4 linked regions of the Arabidopsis thaliana genome follow. The protein of the gene in region 2 interacts with the protein of the main gene of each other region in a biochemical or structural test. Each region holds a gene or a part of one and is shown on either strand. Other genes may lie near its edges. The genes, in order: SOS2, NDPK2, MPK3 and PHYA.

Region 1 (8,765 bases), about 12 Mb from region 2:
TTTGTTGGAAAATATGAAGATTAACAAAATAAAAATATAAGTTTAATGTATTCACATATTGTTCTTCAAAAATTTACATTCTTTTTTTTCTACAGATTTTCTTTTCATATTCATATATTGTTTTCCAAAAGTTTACATTTCTATGTTTTACATATATATTTTTTTCTTTCATAAATATCTTAATCTATATAATATATAATTTAATAATATTAATTAACGTGATGTCAAAAATATCAATAGTGATTCGATTAATCGGGATTGTTCACTTATAAAAATAGGATAGATTAATCAAAATTGTGAGATTAATATGAATTATTTAATGTATTATAATAACTAAATTTATATACATCTTGCTTCCATATATTGTCATCATTTCTCATATTTATTACAATTCATTTTCTTTCAATATTTTGTTTTTAATATAAAAAGCGTAAATTTTAAAAATATCATTTAATGAGATACTTATTGTGATTAAATATTGATTGTAATTATCTATGAAGCACTAATAAATTTAGAGAGACTAATAATAAATTATTTATTTTCGTTTATAAATTTAATAAAATAGAAATTTATATTTTGATAATGTTTATATTATTTGGTGACAAAACATTTAGAAACTTTTCCATATTTTAAAATATTTTTTTTATTTTCATATATTGGTTTTTTTCTATTTTACAAAAAATTTAAAAAATAGAAAAAGAATAATTTAATAAATGTTAATTAGCGAGATGGCTAATCTCGATTGGTTGTTTAAAATCTATGTGGATGCTCTAAGAAGCAAATAATCTCGACTTTTTTAAGAGTATAGACTAGGTTATTAACCCCCGCTATGCGAGGTTTGTTGTTATCGATTGTCTTAATATATGTTTTTTGTTTAGTAATCATTTTAGTAGCTAATTAGCTATACATTGACATATGATTAGGAGTGTCAAAATGGGTAAGTCAACTCAACTCAACTTATAATCAAATGAGTTTAGGGTAACAAAATGAGTTGGGTCAACCCATAACTCATTTAATTTGATGGGTTGAGTTGTTAAATGGGTTAACCCATTTAAGTAATAATTTAATTAATTATTATTACAAAACATAATAAATAATTATCATTATTAATTCATTATCATCAAACTTAGGATATTTACGTATTACACTTTTTATGGATTTACGTTTTTGACGATAAAATCATGGATTTACGTTTTTTGCGGGAAAATTACGGATTTACGTTTCTGGCGGGAAAATTACGGGTTTAAGTTTTTGGCAGGAAAATCTCGGGTATACGTTTTTGGCGGGAAAATCACGGATTTACGTTTTTGGCGAGAAAATCACGGATTTACGTTTTTGGCGGGAAAATCACGGGTTTACGTTTTTGGCGGGAAAATCACGGGTTTTCGTTTTTTGGCGAGAAAATTACGAGTTTACGTTTTTGGCGGGAAAATCACGGGATTTACATTTTTGGCGGGAAAATTACGGGTTTACGTTTTTGGCGGGGAAATTATGGATTTACGTTTTTGGCGGGAAAATCTCGGGTTTACGTTTTTGGTGGGAAAATTACGGGTTTACGTTTTTGGCGAGAAAATTATGGATTTACGTTTTTGGCGGGAAAATCTCGGGTTTACGTTTTTGGCGGGAAAATCTCGGGTTTACGTTTTTGGCGGGAAAATCTCGTGTTTACGTTTTTGGCGGGAAAATCTCGGGTTTACGTTTTTTGCGAGAAAATCACGGGTTTACTTTTTTTTGCGGGAAAATCACGGATTTATGTTTTTTGGTGGAAAAATTACGAGTTTACTTTTTCTCAATTTCATTGCTTGTATATTTAAGAAATTTGGAAAAATATTAATTTTATTAAATTGGTTTAGATGTGTTGGTTAAACCTAAATTGGCATTGGTTTAGAGATTTTAGTTGGTTTTATTCAATTTTACAAAATTTGATGGGTTAATTGGATAAACCATGGAAACCATTAACCATTACAACCTAACTCATTTTACTCATCAAACCAATTGACTCATCAACTCATTTGACTCATCAACTCATTTGAGTCAAAAATTTCAACTCATTAGGGTTCATGGGTTGAGTTGAGTTGAGTTGACCCATGAATTTTGACCCATTTTGACACCCCTACATATGATCATAAGTTAATAATCAAAAATTACTATTGATAACTTTTTAACGGAATTGTTTTGTAAGTTTCATTTACGTTATTTATATAAAAAAACATAATGCAAAAGTACTAATGTATAGTTATTTTTATTTTTAATAATGCAAAAATATTACTGTAATACTTTTTCATTCTTATCAATATTTTTTCTTATATTCAATTAGCCACCAACACCTACATTTCATATTTCTCTTCACATTCATTATTTTCTTGCTCTTGTATTCCTTCTTATCATCTTCATTGCCAATTTTTCATTGACATTGTCATCGTTACTTTGTATGTATGATTTTTGAACATTTAATGTGAATCCCAACCGACTATAGGACTATCAAGAAGTTTTCAAACTTTTTAAAAAAGATCTTGAACCTTTAAAGCAAATCCCAACCGACTATAGAACCATAGTCCTCTTCCTTGTTGATGAAGCTCTTCTCGTGCCGGCGAAAATCTAGGCCATAAAAGCCTCTTCAACATCACCTAGTATATTGACCGTGACCATCTTTTTGACCATTGCTTTGTGAATGAACCGTCGATAAACCGTGTTATCACTTACGCCAAATTTTTCCCTAGTGTTTGTTTCCAAACTCTCACGAATCCTTATCGAACTTTTTTATATATCACTTTGTAGCATTGGAAAGTATCTTTGTATGCTTTGTCTTAAACTTAGACATCCTTGTTCTCTTGGTTTTTTTGAACCTTGCTTGACTTAAATGAAGTTAAAAATTTGTAGTTAAAAATAGAAAATTTTACTAATTTGAGTTCGATTAATCATAGTCTAGATAATTTGAAAAAAATTAAAATAAATTTTGAAAATACTATATGTTTATTTTTTAAAAATAATTTACTAAATTGATAAGTGATATTAGATTAGTTTTTTTTTTCTTTTTTAAATTTTGAAAACCTCACAATTATTAAATTGAAAGATTCAAAATGCAATGTTAGTTTTTAAAAGTTTAATCACCCAAACGGATAATTGACCCGAACGACTAATTCAGGTCGTATACGGGTACAGTCAAATAACCCGACCCGAAATGCTCAACGGATCTGCACGGACGTTCGCATCGACGATTCACGGCTTTCGCGAATCGCATCACGAGCCTTCCTTCTCTCCTACGCCTCTTTCATCAACCCTTCTCTGCGAATCCAATTCTGGTATTTCACGATTCTCTTTCGACTACGCCCAATCGCAATTCCAGCCGTACGAATTTTATATATTGATTATGATCTTGATCCTTACCTTTTCGTCGTTTCCTTGATCGAATTTATGTTGATTTATGCTGCGAAATCAAAATTATGGATACAGAGTAATTTTGTATATATGGATGTGTAGGAGCTAAAATTAGCAAACAATACGTAAAGTAATTGAAATCGAAATCATAAACGTTTAAGGAAAGAGGTTTTTACTAAGTCTCTGAATAATCTGATTGATAGCTTGTGGTCAATGGATCAGATAAAAGTTTGTAAAGAATGACAAAGAAAATGAGAAGAGTGGGCAAGTACGAGGTTGGTCGCACAATAGGTGAAGGAACCTTTGCTAAGGTTAAGTTTGCGAGGAACACAGACACTGGTGATAATGTAGCCATCAAAATTATGGCTAAGAGTACAATACTTAAGAACAGAATGGTTGATCAGGTATGTTCTGGATTGTTTTTTACATGGAAACTAAGGTTGTTGCGTCAATGGTATGATCTTTGATTTCGTTTAAAGCTCTTTTACAGATAAAAAGAGAGATATCTATAATGAAGATTGTTCGTCACCCGAACATAGTGAGGTTGTATGAGGTATGTTTGTTTGTTTCCATGCATCTGCGAAATTTTATCTCTGAAGTGTTTTTGCATCATTGTTCTTCTGTTGTTTTTTTGTGATTTTCCCGATGTAGGTGTTGGCGAGTCCTTCGAAAATATATATAGTTTTGGAGTTTGTGACAGGAGGAGAGCTCTTTGATAGAATTGTACGGAACTTCCATACTTGTAGGCAGCGTCCATTAGTTAAAACCTCTCTACTTAATTTTTTAATATATGAAATCTTTCATGCAGGTTCATAAAGGGAGGCTTGAAGAAAGTGAGTCTCGGAAATACTTTCAACAGCTTGTAGATGCTGTTGCTCATTGTCACTGCAAGGGTGTTTACCACCGTGACCTAAAGGTAAAGACGTGTTTTTGTTTACCAATATTCCTCAGAATATCTCACTGCGTTGCAATCCAGACTTGATATTTTTGTGTCGCTATGTTATGTTATCTAGCCAGAAAATCTTTTACTCGATACAAATGGAAATCTGAAGGTTTCGGATTTCGGACTCAGTGCATTGCCTCAGGAAGTAAGTGCTCTTATCTCTGCTTCAGCAGTCTGCTTACGTGGTCATTAACTTGTTATATACTCAATCAGGGAGTAGAACTTCTGCGTACCACATGTGGAACTCCGAACTATGTAGCTCCAGAGGTACTTAGTGGACAGGGTTACGATGGTTCAGCAGCTGATATTTGGTCTTGCGGGGTTATTCTTTTCGTTATATTGGCTGGATATTTACCTTTTTCCGAGACGGATCTTCCAGGGTTGTACAGAAAAGTAAGTAACATATCTTTCGGGAAGAAATCATGAATTCCTTGTCATGGCTTTTGTCAAACCGTTTATTGATTTGGTTTTGCAATTTCACCCTTAGTTTTGAGCTTTTACACATTGTTATTTACAGATAAATGCAGCAGAGTTTTCTTGTCCACCGTGGTTTTCCGCAGAAGTGAAGTTTTTAATACATAGGATACTTGACCCCAATCCCAAAACAGTGAGTATTTTGCTTTGTTCTCTCCTAGCTATCAGGTTTTGGTGATATTTAATGTTCTAGTAATTATATCTGTTTATCTATTATTGTTTCTCAATTAGAGCAGCGTATTCAAATTCAAGGAATCAAGAAAGATCCTTGGTTCAGATTAAATTATGTGCCTATACGAGCAAGGGAAGAAGAAGAAGTGAATTTGGATGATATTCGTGCAGTTTTTGATGGAATTGAGGTTTGTGCTTCGCCTTCATTATATGCTCTTTGCTGGTCAATTCCATTTAAATGTTAAGATCTCTTAGGAACGTTTGGATGACCAAGAAGAAGTGTTTGCTACAGGATAGAACAAAATAGTAGGCATGTGTTAGTTACCAAACCTGTAAACTGCTTCTTTATTCAATTCGCCAAACCATAGACCTTAGGAAGACTTAGATTTACAAGAGAATTCTCTATTCTCGACCAAAAACCCTAGACAAAATCCAGAATACCCCTAGGGCTAATTACAATGTTCATGTACCTATCAATATATATCTCCTGCTAAGATTGTCTTAGCTTTGGTATAGCCTAGATATATATAGATACCGTAATTTCTAATGCATATTTAGAATGTTTTACTTAAACTCAGGCTCTTGCTCTTCTAAAACTTGTACTTCAATTGTTAAACTAAAACCTCAGTATCTGTCTTAGCTAAAGTTACTTTTACTTGTTTTTCATTAAGTTGACCTGTCAATTGCACTTGTTCACAGGGCAGTTATGTAGCGGAGAATGTAGAGAGAAATGATGAAGGGCCCCTGATGATGAATGCCTTTGAGATGATTACCTTATCACAAGGCTTAAATTTATCTGCACTATTTGACAGGCGACAGGTAGTACCTGATTTTCTATTACTGGTCATAGAGATCTCCATTTCGAATAAAAGAATGTCGGTAGCATCTATTCTTCAGACTGCCCGTTTTGACTGCCTTATGATGCTGTGTTCTTAGTTTGTTATAATAACTATAAGTTCATTAGATGATTGGTTGCATGGCATTAGTAGATACAAATGGAATCCAAAATGTTCCTGCATATTGATGGCTGATCCTTTGATCTCGCAGGATTTTGTTAAAAGGCAAACCCGTTTTGTTTCTCGAAGGGAACCTAGTGAGATAATTGCTAACATTGAGGCTGTAGCGAACTCAATGGGTTTTAAGTCTCATACACGAAACTTCAAGGTAACGAATTCCTAGCATATTACACTTATCACAGAGATTATGCATTATTTTAAAACTCTCAACTGTTAAACGCATGTGTAGATAGATTGATAAGATTGACAAGGAAACTTAGTTTATATCTCTGGCGTTCAAAAACGAAAGTCCTAGTGTGAATTATCATTTTTAATGTTAGCAGAGAGTACAATTGTTATGATTTGTTACGTCTATGTGCTCAACAGACAAGGCTCGAGGGATTATCTTCGATCAAGGCCGGACAGTTAGCTGTTGTGATAGAGGTAATTATTGCTTGTTGTGATTGTAATATAAGTTTGCTTTGCTTCAGTTTAAGGGTATCTAGCAAATTGAAATTAACCTACATGCAGATTTACGAGGTGGCACCATCGCTTTTCATGGTAGACGTAAGAAAGGCTGCTGGTGAAACTCTTGAATATCACAAGGTTTATAAATATATATCCAATAACAATAGTTGCATCATTACTGTGTTGCGGATTAGAGTGATATTTTGTTTTGTGGTATCGCAGTTCTACAAGAAGCTATGTTCGAAACTGGAAAACATAATATGGAGGGCAACAGAAGGAATACCAAAGTCAGAGATTCTCAGAACAATCACGTTTTGATCCCAACTTAAATCCAATAAAAATGTACACTTGTGTAATAAATGACCTAATTATTCTTCAGGGAGATTGGAAGATTTGCTTCTTGAGCTAGTATTCTAATTTGATTGTGTCTTGTAGTTTGCTTTGGCCATTGGTTTGGATCCCTCTGTTCTCTGTGTATGGCAATACTTCTCAAAACTTGTCCTGCGAAGACATGTACTAACAAAACACATCCAATATGAGTTTGCTTACTAGACTACATGAGCTTTATGCCTTTATTTAGTCAAGACTATACGAGTTTAAGCTAGGCAGAGCATTTGGTTTGGATTCTTTCGATAGGGTTTTGTCGGGTTTTTTTTTGGGATTAGAGAAATTCTACCCAAATTAATTAAACTAAATTATGGTTCTTTTTGGTTATATTTTACTATATAAACCTTGATTTTTAAAGTCGCTAACTCATATGATCATGATACATGTAATATCATTTCATAACACAAACATCAATTCATACATAACACAAGTCTCAATCTAATACTCAAATTAATATCGTTATTTTTGTTGGTGTCGAATCTCGAACTATGTGTTCGGATCCATCCGAAGCTTGCCACCTAAAAGTCAACAAGACAACGGTCAACGGGACATGCTCTCGACCGAAGCCCATAGTTGAAGCCGAGCGAACCGAAGAGTTTGTACAACGGAGCGAAAAGGAGATGAGTTTGAGAATGGGTAACGGGCCGAGCATTCGGAGGCCCATGAAGGGTTCAAAGGAATTCAAATGAAGACGTTACAACATTGATTAGAGAATCAAAGCGAACACTTTTAAGAGCGCTTAGTACATTAATTAACAAATTAATGTAAATTATAAATATGAGTCCCTTAAAGCATAAGGGGGTACATTGATTTCTTTCTAAATATCTAATATTATACTATTTTATCTTCATATCTTTGCATGCATTTTGATAATATATACAAAGTACAGTATATACACTTGTATTATTTTTTTAAAAACTAGATGAACATACATGCATGGGTTTTTGTTTTTAAAATTGTTGGAAAAAATTTTGGTTATGGTTTTTTGTTGATTTTGATATTCATTTTTTTTTTTCCTTCTAAAACCTTTATTAGTGACGAGTGTCATAATCATTGTTTACAAGAGACATCAAAAATACAGGACAAGAATGATACAAAAGACCAGAGATTTGGACCTAAAATAGCTTTTTTCGCTAATAGATCGGCACAGGCATTTTGTTCACGATGGGTGAAACAGAATTTCGAGTTTATGAAACCACTTCTCCAATGTTGTATTGTCCCCATGTAGTGTTTGAGTCGAAGATGAGCACCGTACGTATTAATAACTTGGTTGATGGTTTTATTATCCCCTTCGAATATTACGTTTCGGTATCCTAATCCCCACGCAGCCTGTATTGCCCAGATAAGTGATGTACATTCAGCTTCTTCTATCGTATTTCGTCCTTCAAATTGTCCCATACCACAGTCCAACACAAAGCCATTGGAATCACGAATTATCCAACCAAGTCCTGAGGCTCCAGCTCCTTCATGATGCGACGCATCATAATTACATTTCACCCATCCCCTAGGTGGTGGTAGCCAGTTATCTCTTCTTGTTCTCTGTGTGTGAGGAGCCGGAATTGTGTTCACTTGTTTAATGACATTCTCAATCCACTCCTGAGTGTCCGTTGTTGCCAGTTCGAGCGTCTCCCGTGCCGGAATAAGCTTTTTGTTGAATATTAGATCATTACGGCATTTCCATAATCTCCACATAATCCAAAAAGGGAGGTACCTGTGTAATTCATCGACATTCCTATCGTCGTGAATCCTAAAGAGGTACCTTAATTTGTCTTCCAGGGGTGTTTGCGAGTTACATGGTATGGTGGTGTCTAGGCAAGTGGTCCTCCATACCGCTTCCGCATGCGGACAGGAAAAAAAGATGTGATTCCCTGTTTCAGCTTCCGTGCAACAGTGTGCACGGTATGGATTGATGATGATGTTCCGTCGCCTTAGGTTATCGGCAACCCCGA
Region 2 (6,732 bases):
TATAGACAAAAAAGAGGATGATAGCAACAGTGAGAAGATAGTTGTAAATGGTTAGTCTCTTTATAATTGATGTATGCAAGTTGGAGTGCTCGGATATAGAAGTCTTCCCGACACTCATTCTTTGTTCTCTGTAGATTCTTTGAATGAATTGGATCAACTTGAGCATACTGTTGGGGAAAAGTCAACCACCATGGATGCAGTAGTTCTCGTTCCAGATGGTAAGAAATGAAAGTTAAGGAAGGTTGGAGATGGTAATAGATGTTTATTTTCAGATCATGAGTTTACCTGTCATGCTTTGGTATTATAGAGGAGACTGCTCCACCTGAGAGGCAAATTTCCCCAGATTCCCCAGATAAGCGTTACCGCGCGGCTTTCTTGAAGAATCGTTTTGCTGATACCATTATGAAAGCTCGAGAGAAGGCTTTTACCAAGGTTGAATTTTTAAGTGTCCGATCTACTGTGTTGACGAAAAAGCTCGCCTGAACTTGTGGATTGTTTTAATCAAAAAATTTAATGCATCAAATTTCAGGGTGAAAAAGGGGATCCTGAAAAATTGAGGATAGAAAGAGAGGAGTTTGAAAAACGGCTACGGGAAGGTTGGATTGTAGTGCATTCGAGTGTGCTTATGTACCCATAATTCCTAACTAAATACTTTTATTTTTAATTCTTGCGATTTCCGTTTGATTAGAAAAAGAACGGTTACAAGCCGAGGCCAAAGCAGCTGAGGAGGCTCGGAGAAAAGCCAAAGCAGAAGCCGCAGAAAAAGCGAGGAGGGAAAGAGAGCAAGAGAGAGAAGCTGCACGTCAAGCTTTACAAAAGGTATAAAAGACTTTTCGAGTTTCTCTTCTATTATTCAGAGCCCTACCATGGTGTACAATCATGATAAATGACTTTCTGGTCTGTTGCAGATGGAAAAGACAGTGGAGATAAACGAGGGCATACGGTTTATGGAAGACCTCCAGATGCTTAGAGCTACAGGTACAGAAGGTGATCAATTACCGACTTCCATGGAAGTGATGAGTCCCAAGTTTAGTGAGGATATGTTGGGTTTGGGTAGTTTCAAGATGGAAAGCAACAGTAATCCATTAGAACATCTAGGTCTGTATATGAAAATGGATGAGGATGAGGATGAAGAAGAAGACCCGCCACACTTTAGCCAGAGAAAAGTAGAAGACAATCCCTTTGACAGAAGTGAAAAACAGGAACATAGTCCTCACAGAGTAGAAGGAGAGGATCAACTCGTTAGCGGAAATGAAGAGCCGGTGAGCCAAGAGGCACATGATAATGGGGACCAAGAAGATGGAAAACCCATAAACCCAAATGAAATAGAACGACAACTGGAGAATATGCCAGAGCAAGAAAGTGGAGTTGGTGACAAGGAAGAGCAAGAAACTGAAGTTGTCGATATGAGAAAGCAAGAAAATGAAGTTGTTGATATGGGAGTGGAAGAAGTACATCCCCTTGACCGAAGTGAAGGGCGTACACTCAGTCCTCACAGAAAAGAGAGAGAGGACCCACGTGCTAGCGGTAATGAAGAATCGGTAAGCGAAAAGGCACAAGATTATGAGAACCAAAGAGATGAAAAAATCAATCAAAGCGAGAGAGAAGAACAATTGGAGAATGTGCTAGAGCAAGAAAGTAGTAGAGATGATGATACAGGAGAGCAAGAAACTGAAGTTGTCGGAGTAGGAAAAGAACTTTCCCTTGACAAAAGTGAAGGACAAACACTTAGTCCTCACAGAGAAGAGGGAGAGAACCAACTCGATTGTGGAAACGAAGAACTGGTAAGCCAAAAGACACAAGATAATGGGAACCAAGAAGATGAAAAATCCATCAATAAAATTGAAGGAGAAGAACAATTGGCGAATGTGCCAGAGCAAGAAAGTAGAGTTACTGAAAAAGAAGAACAAGAAACTGGAGTTGTCGACTTGGGAGAGCAAAAAAGCGAAGTTGTCGAAAAGGGGGTAGAAGAAAATGAAGCTGTTGACAATGGTGAGGGAGTGCAAGGAACTGAAGTTTCGGACAAGGGAGGAAACGAAACTGTAGTTGATGGCAATGGAAAGGTAGAAACCGAAGTTGTGGACAAGGCAGGGCAAAAAACTGACCTTGTTGACCAGGGAGAGGAAGATATAGATGTAGAAATTGATTGATGAAGTCTTTTTTCCGGGTCTTGTTAAAAGCAACAAGATGAAAAGAAAAAGTTGGGGATGTTTACGCATTGATTCTTCTATGCACAAAATGTAAATTTGATGTGGCGTGAAATGGCTAAAGCAAGCAAAAGAAAGGCAAAGCCAGATACATCTAGAAGACAAGACGATGAGTCTGTATTGCCTATTTTTCAACGTGACTCTGTTGACAATGATTCTAAATCGACGAAAAAAGAAAAAGAAAAAAACAATTTTGCTACAAGAAAGATGGTTTGGTTTGGTATTAAAGCAGCAAATTGTGCGACTGTTGAAATGTGCAGACTTTTGTTTTTTTTAATCTTTTAGAAGAGTAAACTGTACAGGGAAAGAGAAAGAGTCTGTTTCCTCCATTTAAACGAGACACTCTTTGTACTCGAGATCACTTTTTAAATTACTTCTGAGCACTGATACTTTTTGATTGATCAACTAAACCCAAATTATCTTCGCTTCTGGATAAAGGGTATTTATGTCAATTAACTTTGTTCTTATAAGATGATGATGCGAAGACACTGAGAGAAGCTAAGACAAAGCGCAGAAAATGGTGGGAGCGACTGTAGTTAGTAAATGGACTCCCCTATGTGTGGCTTCGCCGCCGGAGAGAAACTCGGCAAGTCTCAATCCACACTGTTCTCCAGCCAGGGTTAATTTTAGAACAGCGTTGGCCGCATTTCGTCCTCAGTTCCGTCTTTTCTCTCGCAATTCCGCGTCTCGCCGCCGTCTTCGCGCTTCCAGCTCCGCCGAATCGGGAATCTTCCTTCCTCACCTTGTAGCTTCTATGGTTTGTGTGCTTCCCCTCCATTTATGCGAATTACTTTGTTTTCTTAGTACTTACATTGATTAAACTCCGAAATCAGGAATTTAGGATTCAAATTAGTTTGGATATATTCTAATTTGATGAATCTCAATGCAATTTAGTGACCTTTTGATTGTTCTTACGTTGTTTTCTGTATTGTTTCAGGAGGACGTTGAGGAGACTTACATTATGGTGAAACCTGATGGCATACAACGAGGCCTTGTAAGCGTTTTTGCTTTTCATTTTTTTTCTTCTTCTGATTTTGAGGTTAAATTATGTATCTTGGAACTCTATGGAGCTTTGAATGTTATTTCATTACACTATCTTGGCTTAAATTATGAATGTATGATTCATTTGATGTTCTTAGGTAGGAGAAATCATTTCTCGCTTTGAGAAAAAGGGGTTTAAACTTATTGGGCTCAAGATGTTTCAGTGCCCAAAAGAATTGGCTGAGGTTTGACACTCACTCATTACATCAGTAGTTTGATAACTTTAGATTGCTTCTTAATGTGATATAACTAATAAATCATTGACAAGTATCGAGAAATTGAAGCCTGATCATGACTTGCATATTTCACTTATTCGCTACATTTGCGTAAGATGACGCTGCCTCATTTTTTTTTCATATTCGATTGACATAATTAATATTCTTGTGTGTTTATCTCAATTGCCAGGAGCATTATAAGGATCTTAGTGCTAAATCATTCTTTCCTAACCTGATTGAGTACATCACTTCAGGTCCAGTTGTGTGTATGGTATGGGTATAACTATGCTCTAATTTGATTTTTACTTGTTTTCAAGTTGTAATTAGATGAGTTAATTGCATGTGATGTTTTAAACCTGGTAAAGGCTTGGGAAGGTGTTGGTGTTGTTGCTTCAGCCAGGAAGCTAATAGGGAAAACAGATCCGCTTCAAGCTGAACCTGGTACTATAAGAGGAGATCTTGCTGTGCAAACCGGAAGGTTGGACTTCTATCATCTTTAAAATTGTTGGAAGTAAGCACTTAAAATAATTCTCATGGTTTGATATTTTTAAATTATGCAATTTGCAGGAACATTGTGCATGGTAGTGACAGCCCTGAAAACGGCAAGCGTGAGATTGGTGAGATTTCTTGTTTTTTGTTCAAATCATTCACCCATCTTTCATTGTTGAGACATTGACTATGTCCAGTTTAGGGGCAAATCAACGTGGTTCAAACTGCTTCAAATTAACTTGATAACATAACTAGATTAGATCATACTTGATTACTGAAATTGTTAGGTTCAATATATCTGTTTTAAACCATTACTATCACTTCTTCATTTACTTAGTTTGACCAATCACTCTCATTCCTTAGTATGCTAAACTTTTAGTTTTCATTTGCTGACATTTTGGCTCTTGTGGTTGTGGCATAGGTCTGTGGTTCAAAGAGGGCGAGCTATGCAAGTGGGATTCGGCTCTAGCTACATGGCTAAGGGAGTGATCCTTGAGAAGACAGAGTCAATTATAATGGTGTCCTTACTTGTTTTCTTGTTACCGATGATGAGCTTTGGTGTTTTGTTCCTGATTTTGGGCGGCAATATAATATAACTGCCAATCTATGGCTTGATTCTTCTCATATCTGTGATCACTTGTCATGTAATCAAAACTAGTTACAGATTCATCTGCATTTGGTTCTACGTTACAGACACCTCCAAAATCATTCATCTTCACTCTACACCGAGCAATGAAAATTTTCTAATCTCAAGCTAAAAGAACATACAAAAGAGTGGCTTTACAAAACGCAGATGCTGCGTGATTAAGATTGCTCAGATCAGTGTACCGGAATATCATTCCGGTTTACTTCTAAGACCGGTTGGTATATGGAATCTCAATGTCCTCAGGAGGAAGTTCCCAGTGATCGTCTTGTTCGTCTTCTCTGGATGCATTTCTGTTGTGCTTGCGGATCTCTGAAGTTGATAGTGGTTTTGGTTTAGGGTTTGGTCTCCTGTAAAATCAAAATCTATTGACTCAACTTCTCCAAGTGTTTTTCGAAAGAAAGAAGAAAAAGTGAAAAAAAAATCTGACCTTTTCCGATACTTCTTCGCAGCTTCTTTGGTCTTCCGCGTCTTCTTCTCCAGAGAGCTCTCGAAGAAGCGTCGTCTTCGAGATTCCTGCAACACACCCGCTCTGAAACACGACCTCTTGAAATCGTTAACCAGCTGCTCCTCCGATTCGCCGTCTTTAGGCACCACCTCGACGTTGTAGTAACTGGACTTGAAGAATACGAGATTCGCGTTCGCCAGCGAAGGATACGCCACTCGATTGATGACGTCATCGTGCTCGGCCGTTAAAATCTTCGTCGTCATCGACAAATGCTGTGACGTTCTCGCGGATACGGAAGACGGAAGCGTGATAGGTTTCAGACTCGACGGAGACGGTGGTTTCGACGAGAGAAGGGAAGAGAGAAGCTCCGAGAGAGAGACTATCGATTCTAGCGCCATTTTTTTTTCCGTCTGAATAAGTGAATAATCGTTTCATTCTTATTATAATATTTTTCAATTGTAATTAGTGTGTTAATTAGATGGTCAAGTCTTTAGTGAGTCTACTTTCTGACTAAAACGACGACGTTGAAGCATATAAAACGAGACCAGTGAACTTTGATCTTTGAAAGCTTTCTCTCTTCGTCTCTCTGGCTCTCTTTCTTTTTCTCTCGTTTTATTTGGTAATTATGCTGAAAACAACGATTTCTCCAATTTTCTCATCGTTTACAGGTAAACCCAAGTGCTCATCGAAGTTGTTTTTTCGAGCTTTTAGTAAGGTTGTTCTACAAGATACTCCACCAAGTGCTCGACGAAATGCGTCAACCAATCTTACTACGTTACACAAAGGTCCACCAACCTCAGCCTACGTTCATCTTCCGTTTTGTCGCAAACGCTGTCATTATTGTGACTTTCCTATCTTAGCTCTAGGCATGTCTTCTTCTTCAGCCAGACCGTCTAATGTCTACGAGGAAGGAAAAGAAGATGACCCGAGAATCACGAACTATGTGAATTTGCTTGTTAGAGAGATAAAAGCGACAAGGACGGATTTTGATACGAACCCGAATCTAGAAACGGTGTTTTTCGGTGGTGGGACGCCTTCTCTTGTTCCTCCGAAGCTTGTTTCTTTGATTCTGGAAACATTGAGTTTGAATTTCGGGCTGAGTCCAGATGCTGAGATATCAATGGAGATGGATCCAGGCACGTTTGATGGTCAGAAGCTGAAGGATTTGATGAAATTGGGAGTTAACAGAGTGTCTTTAGGAGTTCAAGCTTTTCAAGATGAGCTTTTGAAAGCTTGTGGAAGAGCTCATGGTGTCTCTCAAGTGTATGAAGCAATAGAGTTTGTTAAAGAATGTGGAGTTGAGAATTGGAGTATGGATCTTATTTCTTCTCTGCCTCACCAGACTTTGGAGATGTGGGAAGAGAGTTTGAGATTAGCTATCGAATCACAGCCCAATCATGTTTCTGTATATGATCTGCAAGTCGAACAAGGCACAAAGTTTGGAAATTTGTAAGTGTACGTAGTTCAAGTTTGCTTACTGATGCTTAAGAACTTGAATGTAATCTGAACAGAAACGAATTGGGTTCATGAACTTGTGTAGGTACACTCCAGGACAGTCCCCTCTTCCTTCAGAAACACAGTCTGCAGAGTTTTATAAAACAGCATCATCGATGCTCCGTGGTGCAGGTTATGAACATTATGAAGTCAGCAGTTACTCGAGAGACGGTTTCAAGTGCAAACACAACTTGA
Region 3 (7,144 bases), on a different chromosome or scaffold from region 2:
TGCAAGGCTTCAATTGCTGGTCAGTCAAATCCATCTCCTCAGCACACAAAGGGCAAGTCTTTTCACCGTAATCACTCATTTTTTTCCTGAACAAGACAGAGATAAAAAGACTGGAATCATGTCTCATCATAAGACATACAAGCAAAAGCAAACCATACTGACAAAACTACCTAAACTTTAGTAATTCAGCAACATTCGTGTATAGTGGCACAGAATAAAAAGATCGACAGTTTTACTAATAACAGTTCAAATTGAACATCTTCCCGATCAAAGAAACTAATATTATACACTAATCCAATAAAATTGAGTTAGCAAATCTTAAACTAATCCAAAGTATCAAACTTTCAGATCGAAATCGAGAATCTAACAAGCCAAAGTCCATAATGAATCCGTGCATGGGACGCGACGGTTCAATAAGAGACGCGTCAACGAAACAGTACAATCGAAAAAAAAACATATCGACGACAATCCAAAATCTCCATGAGATTTCTACATACAATCGGAATCAGTAAACACGTTGATCTCAATAACTACTCCGGAACTAAAATCGAAACACCAGAATTAGGGTTTTGAGATTCGGCGATTCAAATCCCAACATGAAAGAGTCAATTACGAGAGAAGTGAAAACATACGGCTGAGTAGAGAGATTCGATCGGAGATTGTGGAAGATGAAGAAGATTGAGAGAAGTGGGAGATTGCAAGAGACAACAAGTGAGAGAGATTGGATGGCTGAGATTTTGGCCGCTTCTAGATCCACGATTGCCTAATAAGAAGAATTAACTATGCCCTTAGATTATTAGTTTATTACGGATCTGCCACTATCTCCGGTTCGATTATTTTTGGTTGGCGTCGGTTAAAGACTGATTTAATTTGGTGGTGGTTTTATTTCAACCCAATGATTATATTTTAATTTTTGTTCTTCTACATATCCGATATTTTCAGAAATCATGTGGAAATAAATCTAAAAATTTAGAAATTTAGTTACAAGTTTTATAAAACTAATCGTCTAATACAATGAAATTTCATCAAAATAATTATTTTTCTATAAATTATGATGATCTAAGTACCGGATTAAGAACAAATTACAAATAAGAATACTGTACACAACAAAACTCAAACATGTGACTTCAGAAAATATTTTACTCGTAAATTAAAACATAAACATACACGAATACTATCCTTCATATATATCTTTGTATCTAAGAGTAACTCAATGTTCAAAATAAAATACAGCTAAAAAAAGTAATAAGCAAAAGAATATGGGATAAACTATTTTAAGCTGAAAAAGTAACAAAGTGATAGAACACACTCATGCATCATTAGTTTATGTAACAAAGAAGAACTCATTTTAAGTTGTTGCAATGGAGACTTGCTTCAAAACCTTTGAACAGTCCACAAGTTTCAAGCTTTTAAACGTTCTACAGATGAACAATGGAATAAACGACTAGGCCATTCTTTTCAAAAGAGTGTTCATAAGGGAAATATCATCCACATGCATTTGGAAGCTCTTTATAAGCTTTCGATTTTGCCCGTACCTAATGATTTTCGTTTGTCCATCTAGGAAGTACTCGATTTAAAGTTTAGAACTAATTTAAACAATCATTGTTTTGATAAGGTTAAGTATTTGAAATCACTTTTAGATGACTTTGGAATAGTTTTAGAAGGTTATAATCCAGTGAAGTTTAACGATGCATCGTTATTCCTTAACATAAATAGAACTCTAACTTAAATAAATTTCATAACAAAATCAATATTTTTAACGATAATGTTGGAACATAAATTATATAGCGCATACGATTATTTAGAGGAATTTGTAAACTAAATATTAATATCTTGTTCGAACTCGAAAATAGCTTACTTTTTTTTCTTCATAAGTGTTGGCTTTGATATATAACAACAAAGTGTTACAATAGTGGAAAACTCCACTTACAGAATTCGATAGGCTAATGAGCATTACGATATTAAATTATCAAACACATATAGATAATCTCCTTTAATTTTCATCTACTCAGAATTGAACATTTTCATAATCTGCAAGTTCTGCTTTATCTTGTCTGCTTTCATTGGAAATGAAATGGTATATGTTGGTCGGTAAAAGACGAATCAAATTTGTAAACTAACAATGAACTATTGAAAGAGTAAATCTTACAGAAATCTCAAAAGAAAATAAGATACTAAAAAGGGAGAAACTGAATCTCTCACTTAATCCCCATTCGGGGAACCTTTACACTTAACACGCGATCTGATGGAGCCATGAGTGCAATCCAATCAATCCAAAACTTCTGCAAGGCCCTCTTACACAGATATCCTAACGAAAAGTAACCACAAAGATCCGCTTCTCAACTCCAAAACCAATTTGCGCAAATAGAGATTTTGCCTATTTTGCTATCTCTTTCTTCTTAAAACAAAGCCTTCTTAAAACAAAAGTCCAACAACAAAAGTCAAACCGAGCCCAATATAGTAACCCATCGAGGAAGGGATAAGAAAGCCATACAACACAGAGACATGTGTCGCCTCATGAGGAAATCACAGACACGTGACGAGAAGAACGTGTTTGTCGAGAATGCCAACCACTGCCGGCATGTTTTCTGAGATCGAAGAACGCCTACCCACCGAAAGTTCGTTCACTCCGCAAAACCAGAAGCTTCAAGTAGAGCACTGAAGACCCTCTAAAGAAATTGCACATCTAGTCTTCCTCTTCCAAACGAAATTAAACTCAGATTTAACAAACGAACGAAACTTTCTTTCATATGAAGGAAAGCGTCCACCATTCCAAAGTAGCATGAAGCATCACAATGACGTAAGCAACCAAAAAGATTTTCCGGTGAGACTTAACGTCGCCATGCCCATCAAGTGAAACTACTACAAAATTTGAACGACAAGGCTTATGAAGCCGAAACTCTTAAACTTCCACTTTTTCTTCGTAATGAAGAAACTTAATAAGTTTATTAGAAATAAAGACAAATAAAGGCAAAATACCAAAGAACGGCGACGATAAAACCGGATTTACCGGTAACTATAACTAGAACTCACCGTACGGTATTGAAACAAAAAGTTGGACCATGTCCGAACACAACCTCACAAACATACGGGAAGGCATACGAAACAAAGAATTTTTTCTTTTTCTCAAAATTTTAGAGAAAGAAGAGAATAAAAAAATTCTGATCGAAAATAGCTTACTTAAAAATCATAATTGAATAGTATCTTTTGTTTTTAAACTAATTTAGTCTATATAATAATAATATTATTAACCATCGTAAACCACACATGATATTCAATACTTATAATAAATTAATCGCATAAAATACAATACTTAAAACGAGTGTTATATAATTTTACGTAACGTAAAACAATACAAAATTTTAATTCCTGAACGAATAAAACGAGTATATTAATTAATTTATTGATCGTATTAAAACGAATATGATCCAATTAAGATTACAATTACTAAAATCCCCACACTATTATTGTCATTATTTAACTATGGCAGATAGATAGATACAGAACCGTAAAGGACGTTAGGAAGAGGAAGAACGTTGACGAAGTCAACAACGAACAGAAACCGTCGATTTGAGGCGGCTCTAATCTCAACCACACGATCTTCTCTGCCTTTCCCTCTTCTCTCTTCTTCTTCTTCTTCATCTTCTTCCTCGCAATTACCGCGAAAACTCATCTCTGCTCAATCCTCAATCTCAGTCTCTCTGTTGACTCCGACTGTTATATAAAACCATACAAATACCTTCAGATTCACTACTTCAAACCTCAAAGCAACCACTGAATCTCGACTTTGATCAATTGAGAGAGAAATGAACACCGGCGGTGGCCAATACACGGATTTTCCGGCGGTGGAAACTCACGGAGGACAGTTCATAAGTTACGATATCTTCGGTAGTTTATTCGAGATCACATCTAAGTATCGTCCTCCGATTATACCAATTGGTCGTGGAGCTTATGGAATCGTTTGGTATGTTTCCTTCTCTGAGCTTTTTCTTAAGTTTTATTCTTTGAGATCGGAGTTTTTAATTTCTGGATTTTGATTTTGTGAAGCTCTGTGTTGGATACGGAGACGAACGAGCTAGTAGCGATGAAGAAGATAGCTAATGCTTTTGATAATCATATGGATGCTAAGCGTACGCTTCGTGAGATCAAGCTTCTTCGTCATCTTGATCATGAAAACGTTAGTGTTTTTGTTCGATTTTGTGAAATATCTGTAGAAATTAGTAAATAAATCATGATTAGGGTTTTTTGATTTGGTATTGCAACAGATTATAGCTATAAGAGATGTTGTTCCACCACCACTAAGAAGACAGTTCAGTGATGTTTATATCTCTACTGAATTAATGGATACTGATCTTCATCAAATCATCAGATCTAACCAGAGTTTATCAGAAGAACACTGTCAGGTAAACTAAAAACTGTTCTTGGCTTTTTTCTGGGATTTATATTTGATAGAAGAGACATGAAACTGATACTTGATTTGGTGTTTTTGTTGTCATGGAAACAGTACTTCTTGTACCAGCTACTTCGAGGACTGAAGTATATCCACTCAGCTAACATTATTCATAGGGATTTAAAGCCGAGCAATCTTCTGTTGAACGCGAATTGCGATTTAAAGATTTGTGATTTCGGTCTTGCTAGACCTACTTCAGAGAATGATTTTATGACTGAGTATGTTGTTACGAGATGGTATAGAGCACCTGAGCTTCTGTTGAACTCTTCAGATTACACAGCTGCTATTGATGTTTGGTCTGTTGGTTGTATCTTTATGGAGCTTATGAATAGAAAGCCTTTGTTCCCTGGTAAAGACCATGTTCATCAAATGCGCTTATTGACAGAGGTAAAATATTTTAGAGAGTTATGTAATTTTAGCATGGTTTAAAGATTCTGCCTTTTCACGGAATATGTGATGAATTTGTTTGAATCTTGCAGTTGCTTGGCACACCGACAGAATCTGATCTCGGTTTTACTCACAATGAGGATGCGAAAAGATACATCCGGCAACTTCCCAACTTCCCACGTCAGCCCTTAGCTAAACTTTTCTCTCATGTTAACCCAATGGCCATTGATCTTGTTGACAGAATGTTGACGTTTGACCCCAACAGAAGAATCACTGGTAAGTTTCATACATGTTCTCTGTTGGTTTTTCTTACCATCACTATGTTTTGATTAAAAACTGAAAATACCATCTTGTGCAGTTGAACAAGCTCTGAATCACCAGTACCTTGCTAAATTGCACGACCCGAATGATGAGCCAATCTGTCAAAAGCCATTCTCTTTTGAGTTCGAACAACAGCCTCTGGATGAGGAACAGATAAAAGAGATGATCTACCAAGAAGCCATAGCACTCAATCCAACATACGGTTAGAAGTGCAGCAGCCCCGTGAATGCCTGGTATTACCCAATAACCATCCGAATGGCTACTTAGTATCTTTGCCTGTTCTTTTATTCATGTACTTCTTCCACATATGTAATCTTGTAACTTTTATTTGTTTGTTCATGTTATTTACTGCTAGTGATTAAGTGTAGCTCCAATGTAAAGTACTCCAGTTATTAAAGAATATCTATAGACTTTTTTACTTCACATACTCTTGAGTCTTCCCTAGTAAACAAAGAGAAGAGAGAATATAATTTTGTAATGTACAGAGCCTCAATATTTGTGGGAGACATTATAGAGCTAGAGCCAGAGTCAATGCTGTCGCCGTGAGTTGTCTATTCTCATTCAATGACTTTCAATAGATTTTAGTGGGATTGGCTTTAGGTAGCTTGCATTATTGAAGTAGAAATGGTCAATTCCTTAGCAATAATTAGGCACAAATGTGTCTTTCTTTAGTAATATTGTAATATCCTTTGTCTGACAATTTAGAGTTGACTTCTAAAACGTTGGGTTGGAAATAATGTTGTCTTCACACAGGCTGTTACGAAGCAGACAGTGATGGCTCAACTTGCATCAACGGAAACCTTTGAGTTTTTGTTTTACTTTCTTAATGTTTCTTTATTTGAAGCTGCTGCGCATGGAGAATAAAATATCGTGGACCCGAGAAAGTCATCATTGCTGTATTATTACTTATACTGTATATATGTTTCAGAATTTCAGGCCATTGTTGACAAAAATAGTGAAAGATTTCTGCTTGATTTTGAGACATGGCTAGTTCAGTTACTGGCGATGCAGAAACAGCGATATCAGCAGATTCAAGCACCAAACGCCGTGGTGGAGGTTGGATTACCTTTCCGTTTATGATAGGTGAGAGATTCTGTTTCTCTGTTTTTATATTTCTCATAACTTCATAACCATTAGAGCTTGGAAGAAGAAGTTGAATTTATCTTATCTTTCTATGGTGCAGCTACGTTGTTAGGCTTGACAATAGCTGCGTGGGGTTGGTTACTTAACTTGATCGTCTACCTGATCGAGGAATTCAACGTGAAGAGCATTGCAGCGGCTCAGATTGCTAATATTGTTAGTGGTTGTATCTGTATGGTTCCAGCTGTTGCAGCCATTGCATCTGACTCTTTCTTTGGAACCATTCCTGTTATCTCAGTTTCAGCTTTCATTTCTCTTATGGTAAAGTTAATAAAGAGTCCTTGACATTTGTTTTTATCAGTTTCTCTCTGAAACAGAAATTCACTAATTCTACTCTTGACCAGGGTGTAGCTCTACTGACTCTAACTGCTTCACTTGACACTTTAAGACCTAGACCCTGCGAAACAGCTTCAATACTATGCCAGTCTCCTTCGAAAACCCAGCTCGGAGTCCTTTACACGGCCATAACTCTAGCCTCTATAGGAACAGGTGGGACACGGTTCACATTAGCAACTGCTGGTGCGAACCAGTATGAAAAAACTAAAGACCAAGGAAGCTTTTTCAACTGGTTTTTCTTCACAACATATCTAGCCGGAGCTATAAGTGCAACCGCCATTGTCTACACCGAAGACAATATCAGCTGGACCCTTGGGTTTGGTCTGTCTGTAGCCGCTAATTTCTTCAGTTTTTTGGTTTTCGTCTCGGGGAAAAGATTCTACAAGCATGACAAGCCTTTGGGAAGTCCCTTCACAAGTCTACTATGCGTCATTTTCGCAGCATTACGCAAAAGAAAAGCTGTGGTTTCCACCAACGAAAAAGACTACCACAATGAATCAATCACAATGC
Region 4 (9,382 bases), on a different chromosome or scaffold from region 2:
AAAGCTCTGATCCATCCGTTTTAGTAATTCGTTGACCTTTGACATTTCACTTAGACAGATGTGTGCAAGAAAGAAAAACAGCATGTTGCTTGCTTTTTCCCTCAACGAGAAAAGTCACCCTCTCTTCAATTCTTCAATTCTCCTCCCTTTATAAACCATAATTCATTAATTCTCTTCTCTCTCAACAACTACTTGTTTAGAGAGAGTCCCACCACCACCACTACCACAATCCCAATGGCTTCACCAACTCTTACTCTCCTCCTCCTCCTCACCACCGTCTCCTTCTTCATCTCCTCCTCCGCAGATCCTGACATGCTTCAAGATCTCTGCGTCGCTGATCTTCCCTCTGGTACTTGCAAAAACCTTTACTTTCATCTCTTTTCCTAGAAAAAGATTCAATTTCTAATCTCTTTCTTGTTTTTCTTTTTTGCAGGAATCAAAATCAATGGCTTCCCTTGCAAAGACGCAGCTACAGTCACATCAGCCGATTTCTTCTCACAAGGATTAGCTAAACCAGGTCTTACCAACAACACATTCGGTGCCTTAGTCACAGGAGCTAACGTTATGACAATCCCAGGACTCAACACACTTGGTGTCTCCCTCTCTCGTATCGACTACGCACCAGGAGGCTTAAACCCACCTCACACCCACCCACGTGCCACTGAGGTCGTTTTCGTCCTCGAAGGAACACTTGACGTTGGGTTTCTCACTACTGCCAATAAGCTAATCTCTCAATCTCTCAAGAAAGGAGATGTCTTTGCTTTCCCCAAAGGACTTGTCCATTTCCAGAAGAACAATGGTGATGTCCCTGCTTCTGTTATTGCAGCTTTCAATAGTCAGCTTCCTGGAACTCAATCTCTTGGTGCTACTTTGTTTGGTTCTACTCCTCCTGTTCCTGACAACATCTTGGCTCAAGCCTTTCAGACTTCTCCAGGAACTGTTAAACACATCAAATCCAAGTTCCAACCCAAGAAATGATCATCACCCTTCCTTTATATTCATTACTACAGTTCTGTTTTTTTCTAAAGGGAAGATCTTTTTATCTTCTTTGATTTGTCTTCTGTAATAAAAAAGGAACAATAACTGATGATCTTCAGTGTGCATTTGAGCTCCATAGTCTCATGTATTCGTCTTCTTGTATAATCCATATTATTTTTTGTTCAAAGTTGACTAAAGACAGGTAAGAAGTCGAGGTTGATCTAATCTAAAAGCTTTCAAAACAGGTAAGCTAATTTATCTGACTTTTCAGATAAAATAATCAACTTGAGAGACTCTTAACGTATGGGTCTAATAAAACTGATTACTTAATTAACATGATAACTTATTTTTTACTTCACACACCATGTGCTTCTTCTAACAGAAAACTAAGTGTACTTCATATGGCCAGCTAATAGATCTCTGTTAAGTTCGAAGAACTATGTTTGCTTCTTCATGGAGTTGAGCCAAAGCTAATTGTTTGAAACCAAGACTTCTTGCAACATAGTCACGAATCATGCATTACCTCTAATACCTTAAAAGAAGGAGATTATATGAAACTAGATAGAATATTTGTTTGAGTTTCTGCCATTATGATAAACCATGGACCGTAAACATTAGCTCATTTCTCCTATATTACTTATTTTGAATGATACATCATGAAACCAAAACACTCAGGAGGAGATTAGATATGCATCCATATTTACAGCTTCAGAAAAGAGTTCAACAGAAGATGTAAATGGATGGATATTTCATCGTTACTGAAATTTGAAAACGAAAACAAAAGCGATAAGGAAAGTTACAAGCAAAGAACAACCAGTGACTATTTTATATCAAGCCAGACCCCTTTTCTTTTGGGGACTACTTGTTTGCTGCAGCGAGTTCCGCAGTGATAATGAAACTTGATTTCCCAGCTTGTCTCAAGTACTGAACATCTCCATTCATCAGCTTCACCAGTTTCCGGCTAACCATTAAGCTCAATCCTTCTTCTGACACATCTTCCTCAGTCCCAAACATTTGGTTTAGTAAAAACTCAGGTATCCCAGCTCCGGTATGCGTTAACCTGTTTTCATAATCCCAATATCCTCAATGCACTGTTTTTAACATCATATTATGCATTCTGATTATGAATATATCTATTTTACCTGATCTCTAGATTAGCAAGATGCACAGAACGCCCGAGCTGATCCTTCCTCAGGGAAGCTGAAACAGTTAGCTGACCTCCGGATGGTGTAAAGTTTACAGCCATCAGCATGAAATCTGCCAAGACTTGTTGAAGCCTAATACTGTCTCCATACAAAGTGTCAGACATTACTTCTTCTCCGGTCTCATTTGTTATCCGAACACTCTTTCCGTTACTCTTCATCATTACTTGACTTGTGGAAGCAGTCAACACTTCATTTAAGGTGAATTCTTTCATTTCCAAATCCAAGCATCTGCACAGTCAAATTCCAACATAAGAACACAGATAAACCATATTTTAAATGGACTTTCATTCTAGCATACCCTTCAATGATGCTTTCAAGATCCGAATCATCGAGGATCTTGCTTAGTTGCTTCTGACATAACGCGCTAGTTTGCAAAATCCGTCTTTGCTCTGGTCCTAATTCAGTACCCTCTATCATTTTCCTTGTAAACATGATCCCAGATAGCGGATTCCTGATCTGTCTTTTTATGTATGCTAGAGCCTTTAGTCTCTTCACTGCGGTTCGCTCAGCTAAACGTTGAACATGGAGCGCTTGCTGCAGCTCATGGCTGGCAAGTTGCAGGAAACAGAAGACACCTGTCACTACACCTTCCCTGTCCAGTTTCTTACTCACACACAACAGACACTCCACATACTTGCCACCTCTTGTAAAGAAAGCAAACGATACTTTCTCTGGATCTTGACTGGTCACAGCATTGTTCAGCACAATCCCAAGGTTTACAAAGGCTTCTTGATTCTTTAGACGACAACATGACTTCTGCGTCCCAAATACTTCTCCTAAGAGCATTTTGTCAATCACTTCCTCTCGCTTCAAACCGGTTAACTTTGACATTGCTGGATTCCACTCTGTGCACCATCCAAACTCATCGGTACCAAATATTGGCGGGATCAGCGGGTTTGGATTTTGGATGATTGCCTTGTAATCACCTTCAATCCGCGTAAACTTGTCCATCACAGTCTTCTGGCCAGTAAGATCATGGGCTACAAAACACACCCCAACCACGTTTTCATGGAGATCTCTACTTGCGCATGCATTTACAACTAAACTTATTGGCCCAGCATCAGCCCTGGACAGATGTGTCTTGATCTCAAACTGGACATTCTGCTCCTCAGTTCCTGCATAGATAAGCAAGTGAAGTTATAGACTCGGCTTCAGTGTTTGATAAAATTGGAAAACAAAATTCCATCATTAAGAACCAAAAACAACACATTGCATCAAGTTTCTTCGACCACGATACTCAATTGGAACTTGAATAGTGAAATCTAGTTGGAAGATTCTTAGCAAACTCAGCATAACTTAGGAAGAGAGTTTACCTTCTAATGCGTTCTCTAGCATCCTTTTAACGATTTCCACTGAAGAATCTTCAACAAGTGTGAGGAAATGCTTCCCGATTGCTTCATCAACCGAAAGACCAGTCAGCTCAGCAATTTTCGTGTTCCAACCATTAACCAGTCCATCAGAATCAACCGCCAATATTGGCACCGTAGCAGTCTCAATTAAACGAACCATCTCACTGGTCACAGCTTCTAGTTCTTGTATACCATCAATTTTGAGATCATTTAGCTTCGAGTAAATGACCTTTGTATTCACATCAGTAGTTTCACTATCCTTGAAAGCATTCCTCAAAATAAGTTGCAAGGAGTGTATGGCATCCATCTCATAGTCCTTCCAAGGTAAACTCCTTGTCTTGACCACTTCAAGGAAAGCCTTGAACGATGACCTTGGGTGCATTCTCCTTGCATCATCCCTATCATCTGGATCATGCTTCGCACCTCCCCATCTCACTTCACCAGCGGTATGAGAACGGAACCAGAAAATCATGTCTTTCGATGATATCCTCACAGCTGCCATCCCACATACCGAATCCCCGAGAGATAGAGCCCTAGGAAACCCGGCGTCATGCAAACTATCAGTGCTCAAACCCGTTGAATCCATGTGGTATTCACACAACCATGAAGCTATCTCCTGCAGGTGGAACTCACTTGGAGTTGTTCCCAGTTTCCATATCTTGTCTTTATACAAGAGAGCTGCTCCATCACATTTCACAAGGTCCATTATGTTGGGGCTTTGCGACACAATACCCAGTGGAGCATCACGCATCAGCATATCGCACAAGAGTGTCTGCGTGCGCAAAATGTTCTTCTCCACCATCTGGTTATCGAGTTCCACCTCCTTATTGACGTGTATGGCAAACACTTGAGCTAGAAACTCACAGGCATACCTGAGAGGAAATGGAACAAACCTCGGAGTCGTATTGTGACAAACCACTAAACCCCATAGTCTCTTTCTCTTTTGAGGCTGTGTAGTAGCATCAGGAGCATCCCCTTCTCCATCTTCCTCGTTAACTACAACCGCCATAACCAGAGATGCAATTGAATCCATGTTGGCCATGTACTGCAAATGGCAGCTGTGCGGTGCTCTAAGGGTGGAGCCACACAAGGTAAGGTCAAAGGAAAGCTTTTCATCTTGAAGCACCCTAGCATGTTTTGCATTGCAATCAACTATCATCCGGACCTTGTTCTTCATAAACAGAAAACGGGCTGCTTGAGGGATGTCGGTGGCAGGATAATGCAGCCCAAGATAAGGCTCCAGCCCAGGTTTTGTAACCTCGGAGACAACCTCACCGTGATCATCTTCATGAAACTTATAAGCCATCACCCTGTCATACCCCGTGAGTTCAAAAACCTCTTGAACCATTGTATCACAAAGCCTTTCCATACTCCCGCTGGGTAAAGATTGCAGCCTAGTGATTGCTTTGGCAGCGAGCTTGTATGATTGTAAGGCACCAGCAGCTGTCATGGGGACTTCATAAGGCTTCACGGGTTCAAAGTCGATGATGATGCTCCCTGTAACCCTGTGGATAATCGCATAAAAGGGCTTTGCAGAAGTCCTGCAGTGCACAAGAATGGGATTCAAAAGAGAGACATCTCCAAATCCAAGGGCTTTCTGCAATGCAGACGCACTAGGAGCAGTGAAAAGACTCCTTATATCTGTCCCAATGCCTAGAACAGGGTGTTCGCCAACACTAGGAACTGCATGACTGGCCATTGTCAACAGCTCAGATGCATTCTCGCTGTATGCAATAACTTTGAAGGTCTTCTCATCCAAGGCAAGTAAACAACCGAAGGGCTGAATCAGCTTTCCCTTCTGTATATGATGAAGATAAGTCGTGGTAACTTTGTCAGACCTTGGTGGCTGATTCTCCACAACCGGGCCAGTGACACGCACTGAGGTTGAGTAATCAAAGGAGCTGCCTGACTCCTCAAAATCAGCATGGAGTTTCGCATCTACAGTGGTCTGCGCAATGATCCTAGCGCTGTGCCTTGATCGCCTTGAGCCCTCAGAGGACTGAGTCGGCCTAGAGCCTGACATTTTTTTCCTGACACAGAGACAAGACAACAAAAAATAAGTGCAAAACTCTGATAAAAGAGGGAATAAAACATTCATGCCATAATCATATGAACACAAAAACATTCATCACCAGTCATACAAGCGAATGCATAAGCATAAACTTGAAACACTAAGAACCAATTCAGAATTTCAAACACACAGTAAAAAGAGTTATGAACTTGACTAACTCCATCGAGAATACATAGCTAAACCCAGAAACAGGACGCAACAGATGCAGGAATCATCGTGTCATATTCCAAGGTTCAATGATTTATCATTTTCAAAGTAACTGAACCAGTCAGATTCCATGAACACTTCCTTTCTAAGTCATCCTACAATCCAAAATCAACAACATCTTGACTATGAACAAGTCGCACAAATAATAGTTGATAGTTAACAGGGTAAATCCACTACACAAATACTAACAAAACGAGGATCTGAGCTAATATCAGCCTCTCAAGATTCAAACACAGCTACATACATAAAGTAGACTCAATAATAAACTCTTAAGAGTCTTTATAGCTAGCTATACCTTTCAAAAGGAACAATAAAGTCCCCACAGGGAAAGCAATCGTAGGAGTTAAAAGCGATAAAAGGATGAGATTAATTAATTGGATGCTTCTTCTCATAAATGATCACACACTATAAAAAGTTGAGTAAAACAAACACACATCAAGCCAGATCGAAAGAGACCTACAAAACCTTTATATCGCAGAAAACAAGAGGGTATTGATGACAACAGAGGATAGCTTTAAGAAATTAACTTCAAAGTTAGAATCAATTTCAGTAAGAAGAGTGAGACCAGTAGCTAGCTGGTAAGCTCCCAGCAGAAATCAATCGAAGCAAGCTTCAATATATATAGTTAAAAAAAGAAAAAAAAGGAGGAAACTTTGGGAAAAGGAAAGTAGGTACCTTTAAAGAGAAGAAAGAAGAAGAAGAAGTTTCAAGAAGCCATGATCAGATCTTGTGACTAGTCACACTCGTCAGAGGCTTTTTGTTATAGTTAAATTCTAAATCTTGGCCTCGATCACCACCTTCTCTCTTGTGCTACGCCTCTCTATTATTTGTGCTCCCTAACACAGACGACGACGATGAATGGGACCACCCCGAATACGTATGCCCATGTCTCGGAGTATGGGCGATTTGTATATTTTATAATGGAATAAAATAAAAGAAGAAAAAAGCTTAATTTGGATAAAAGACAAACTTCACACACATATCAAGAACAGGGTCGGCTTCGCCGGTAACATTTTCCTCGCTAAAACAGAACAGTGGGCTTAAGATATATCAAGTACTACTACTTGTAAATCTTGGCAACTTTCTGGGGAATATTAATTGATATTTTCACCGATGTGACTAAGACTGTGTAATGAGGAAAAAAGAAGTAAAGTGGAAGAAGAACAAAATGGGGTTGATTCTTATAAATCCGATTGAAGAGAATCGTCCAAAGGATAAGAGATCAAAAGTAAAAAAAAAAAAAAAGATTATTAATAAAATAAAAAAACGAGAAAGAGAGAGAGAAAGAAAGATGGTGGTAGTTGTTTAATGAAGGCAGTAACCAGAAGTAGAAAGTTGGGTTTTGAGGAAGACGACAACGATAGTCTTATGGGCTTCACGTTTTCTCGGCTTTTTGCGTTTTGTAATCTGTTTCTGGGATTTACTTCAAAGTTGGGACTTTCCTTTTTTGTATTTTTTTTTATCGTTGAAAGAAAGTAATAAAATTTGTAAAACTAATTTAAGTTTATTCGAAGAATTTAAATTTGTTTTATTTTTTATATAAAAAGGGTAAAAAAATCGTTATTAAGGTTTTATTTTTTTTTCGTCAAACAAAATCCATATCGTTTTAACATCATTGTCAAACTTCGATTCGTTCTTATCGCAAATCCACGTTACCATGTTTTCTTAGGTATTTTGCTTCTATCCTCTTAAAGTTAAATCTCCCCCTAAGTTTTTTGCAGTAAATCTCCGGAGAAGATCGAATCGACAACGTCTTATCTAGACAGCGCAATTCAGCATAGATATTGTGGCACAGCTATGTTGGACCAAAAATGTGCCTCCATAATGCAAATGTTGTCCTAGCAACACAGTATCATCCATTAGACATAGTCATGGCCCATGTTGCACATATCTGAATTGGCAAAAGGTACTAATCCCATTTCAGGAATAACACTTTGAAGAACAAAACAAATATGAGCTTAGGAGACTTCTTAATGGCCGGCCAAGAACGCTTCAATCACTAGGGATGTGATGGTTTGGAACTTTAAGGCGCCCTTTGAGAGCTATTTCATTTTCACTCTTTTGATATTGAACTCTCAAAACAACTGTTCATTACCATGTGTTTTCTCGGTTTTTAATGTGTGTATTTGTGTGAAACAAGGCCAATAATCTATATACGAAAATAAAGAAAATGGTTCTTTACACCAAAACTTCCGTATTAAAAAGAACATTTAAAATCTGTTATCGTCACTGTAATAAACAATGTCAATGGTTACTTATGTATAAGAAGTAGAAGAAGATGACGGAAAACAATCTTTGTCACTCTTTTGCAAGGACTGATCATCTTCTTCTTCAGTTTGATGAACCACCGGAGGACATGAAGAAAGTTTTTCATAATAATCAGTCCCTGCGACTCTGCAAAGCATCCTCGAGATCAAGTTCTAATCCAACACGATTCCTTATAGACGCAGCTGCATGACAAGACGACGTCATTTTAAATAACCTCTCCAATTCCTTAAACCTCTCGCAGTCAAACTTATGACTCTTCAACAACTTCCTCTGTCTCGACAAGAAGAGCCTCTTCATGAAATCCTGATATGTCGGATCTCTCGAAGTCATCAAGAAATAAGCATAACCCACAATGATTCCAGTCGCTGTAGCGAAGAAAGTGATTGGTTCCATCACATCCCATGAGAATTCCCAGAAAGTTAATCTAAAAAAGAGTCCAATTTGAACCATCGAAGTAGCTAAACCACACCAAAGAATCTTCCTCACTTGTCTATGAGCCAAAACATCAATCTCTTCTTTCATGATTCTCAATTTGTTGAATTCTTCCTTGATTTGATCTTCCTCTGGATTCTGGTCCAAAGGCATCGCTCTTCTAATCAGATCCACCACCTGAACAAAACAAAAAAGTCCAGATTTTTAGAGAAATCGAGACAAAACAGAGTAAAGTGAGACAAAACAGAGTAAAGTTCTGTTTTTGTGTTCTAATTAAGACCTTGTCTGGGTGAAGATAGACTTTATCACGAAAGATCAAGACAACGCCAGCATCGTCAAGAACACGAGCAAAGACATGAGCTTCATCGGGAGATCTAGCGATACCCATTCCTTGAGAAGCTTCTAAAAGTGTAGAGTAAGAGACAACATCTCTATCAGCCACACCAACAAGCTTCTTCTTCATGTCTTCAACATTCACAAGCCTCATTAGCTTCTTCGCTTCCGCTATAGTTATCTCTTTCTTCTTCTCCTCTTCATCCTCCGACGGTGTTTTGACGGTGACGCAGCTTCTTAATCCACCGTGACCAAGCCATGTCCTTTGCGAAGAAGCTCTAATGGCATTGGACATTGCCGTACGCCTTATCAAACCCATTGACCACATTATTTGACCCACGAATCTGAAGATCTTAGCTCTGGATTTGGTGAAAGCGAAATTGAATAAAAGTTAGGTTCACAGATCAAACGATTAAAAGATATGAGAATCGGAGAAAGAGATGGAATAATATAACGCGCTTAATTATGATTCTTCTGTTATTAATATCATAAGATTACACGATTAGGAAAATCGAAGAAAAGAAAAAAGAGGACAAGCA

The links.
Region 1: the proteins of NDPK2 (region 2) and SOS2 form a complex in vitro, tested with the Arabidopsis thaliana proteins (one study listed by BioGRID).
Region 3: the proteins of NDPK2 (region 2) and MPK3 form a complex in vitro, tested with the Arabidopsis thaliana proteins (one study listed by BioGRID).
Region 4: the proteins of NDPK2 (region 2) and PHYA form a complex in vitro, tested with the Arabidopsis thaliana proteins (2 studies listed by BioGRID).

The regions. Positions count from the first base shown.
Region 1 is NC_003076.8:13,631,316-13,640,080, forward strand, and holds SOS2 (Protein kinase superfamily protein), read left to right. Parts: upstream 1-3,083; 5' UTR 3,084-3,302; intron 3,303-3,600; 5' UTR 3,601-3,617; coding exon 3,618-3,782; intron 3,783-3,868; coding exon 3,869-3,931; intron 3,932-4,029; coding exon 4,030-4,101; intron 4,102-4,186; coding exon 4,187-4,294; intron 4,295-4,391; coding exon 4,392-4,466; intron 4,467-4,534; coding exon 4,535-4,714; intron 4,715-4,838; coding exon 4,839-4,928; intron 4,929-5,031; coding exon 5,032-5,154; intron 5,155-5,665; coding exon 5,666-5,785; intron 5,786-6,013; coding exon 6,014-6,130; coding exon of another isoform or gene 6,131-6,145; exon of another isoform or gene 6,146-6,348; coding exon 6,349-6,405; intron 6,406-6,492; coding exon 6,493-6,567; intron 6,568-6,651; coding exon 6,652-6,747; 3' UTR 6,748-7,060; downstream 7,061-8,765. UniProt on the Arabidopsis thaliana protein: Involved in the regulatory pathway for the control of intracellular Na(+) and K(+) homeostasis and salt tolerance.
Region 2 is NC_003076.8:25,369,831-25,376,562, reverse strand, and holds NDPK2 (nucleoside diphosphate kinase 2), read left to right. Parts: upstream 1-2,658; 5' UTR 2,659-2,724; coding exon 2,725-2,964; intron 2,965-3,144; coding exon 3,145-3,201; intron 3,202-3,346; coding exon 3,347-3,433; intron 3,434-3,653; coding exon 3,654-3,734; intron 3,735-3,828; coding exon 3,829-3,941; intron 3,942-4,030; coding exon 4,031-4,080; intron 4,081-4,373; coding exon 4,374-4,441; 3' UTR 4,442-4,659; downstream 4,660-6,732. Other genes in the region: NPX1 (nuclear protein X1), read left to right, coding at 1-50, 135-218, 308-432, 530-596, 689-819, 909-2,150; AT5G63300 (Ribosomal protein S21 family protein), read right to left, coding at 4,788-5,441; AT5G63290 (Radical SAM superfamily protein), read left to right, coding at 5,669-6,492, 6,584-6,732. UniProt on the Arabidopsis thaliana protein: Major role in the synthesis of nucleoside triphosphates other than ATP. The ATP gamma phosphate is transferred to the NDP beta phosphate via a ping-pong mechanism, using a phosphorylated active-site intermediate. May activate MPK3 and MPK6.
Region 3 is NC_003074.8:16,753,112-16,760,255, forward strand, and holds MPK3 (mitogen-activated protein kinase 3), read left to right. Parts: upstream 1-3,459; 5' UTR 3,460-3,481; coding exon of another isoform or gene 3,482-3,673; 5' UTR 3,674-3,806; coding exon 3,807-3,964; intron 3,965-4,047; coding exon 4,048-4,177; intron 4,178-4,265; coding exon 4,266-4,403; intron 4,404-4,504; coding exon 4,505-4,837; intron 4,838-4,929; coding exon 4,930-5,113; intron 5,114-5,195; coding exon 5,196-5,365; 3' UTR 5,366-5,763; downstream 5,764-7,144. Other genes in the region: AT3G45630 (RNA binding (RRM/RBD/RNP motifs) family protein), read right to left, coding at 1-79; AT3G45645 (uncharacterized protein), read right to left, coding at 3,482-3,673; NAXT1 (nitrate excretion transporter1), read left to right, coding at 6,142-6,241, 6,342-6,559, 6,643-7,144. UniProt on the Arabidopsis thaliana protein: Involved in oxidative stress-mediated signaling cascade (such as ozone). Involved in the innate immune MAP kinase signaling cascade (MEKK1, MKK4/MKK5 and MPK3/MPK6) downstream of bacterial flagellin receptor FLS2.
Region 4 is NC_003070.9:3,093,662-3,103,043, forward strand, and holds PHYA (phytochrome A), read right to left. Parts: upstream 6,170-9,382; 5' UTR 5,767-6,169; coding exon 5,762-5,766; intron 5,563-5,761; coding exon 3,497-5,562; intron 3,299-3,496; coding exon 2,482-3,298; intron 2,412-2,481; coding exon 2,121-2,411; intron 2,039-2,120; coding exon 1,837-2,038; 3' UTR 1,542-1,836; downstream 1-1,541. Other genes in the region: GLP5 (germin-like protein 5), read left to right, coding at 235-349, 434-978; AT1G09575 (calcium uniporter-like protein (DUF607)), read right to left, coding at 8,190-8,687, 8,791-9,171. UniProt on the Arabidopsis thaliana protein: Regulatory photoreceptor which exists in two forms that are reversibly interconvertible by light: the Pr form that absorbs maximally in the red region of the spectrum and the Pfr form that absorbs maximally in the far-red region.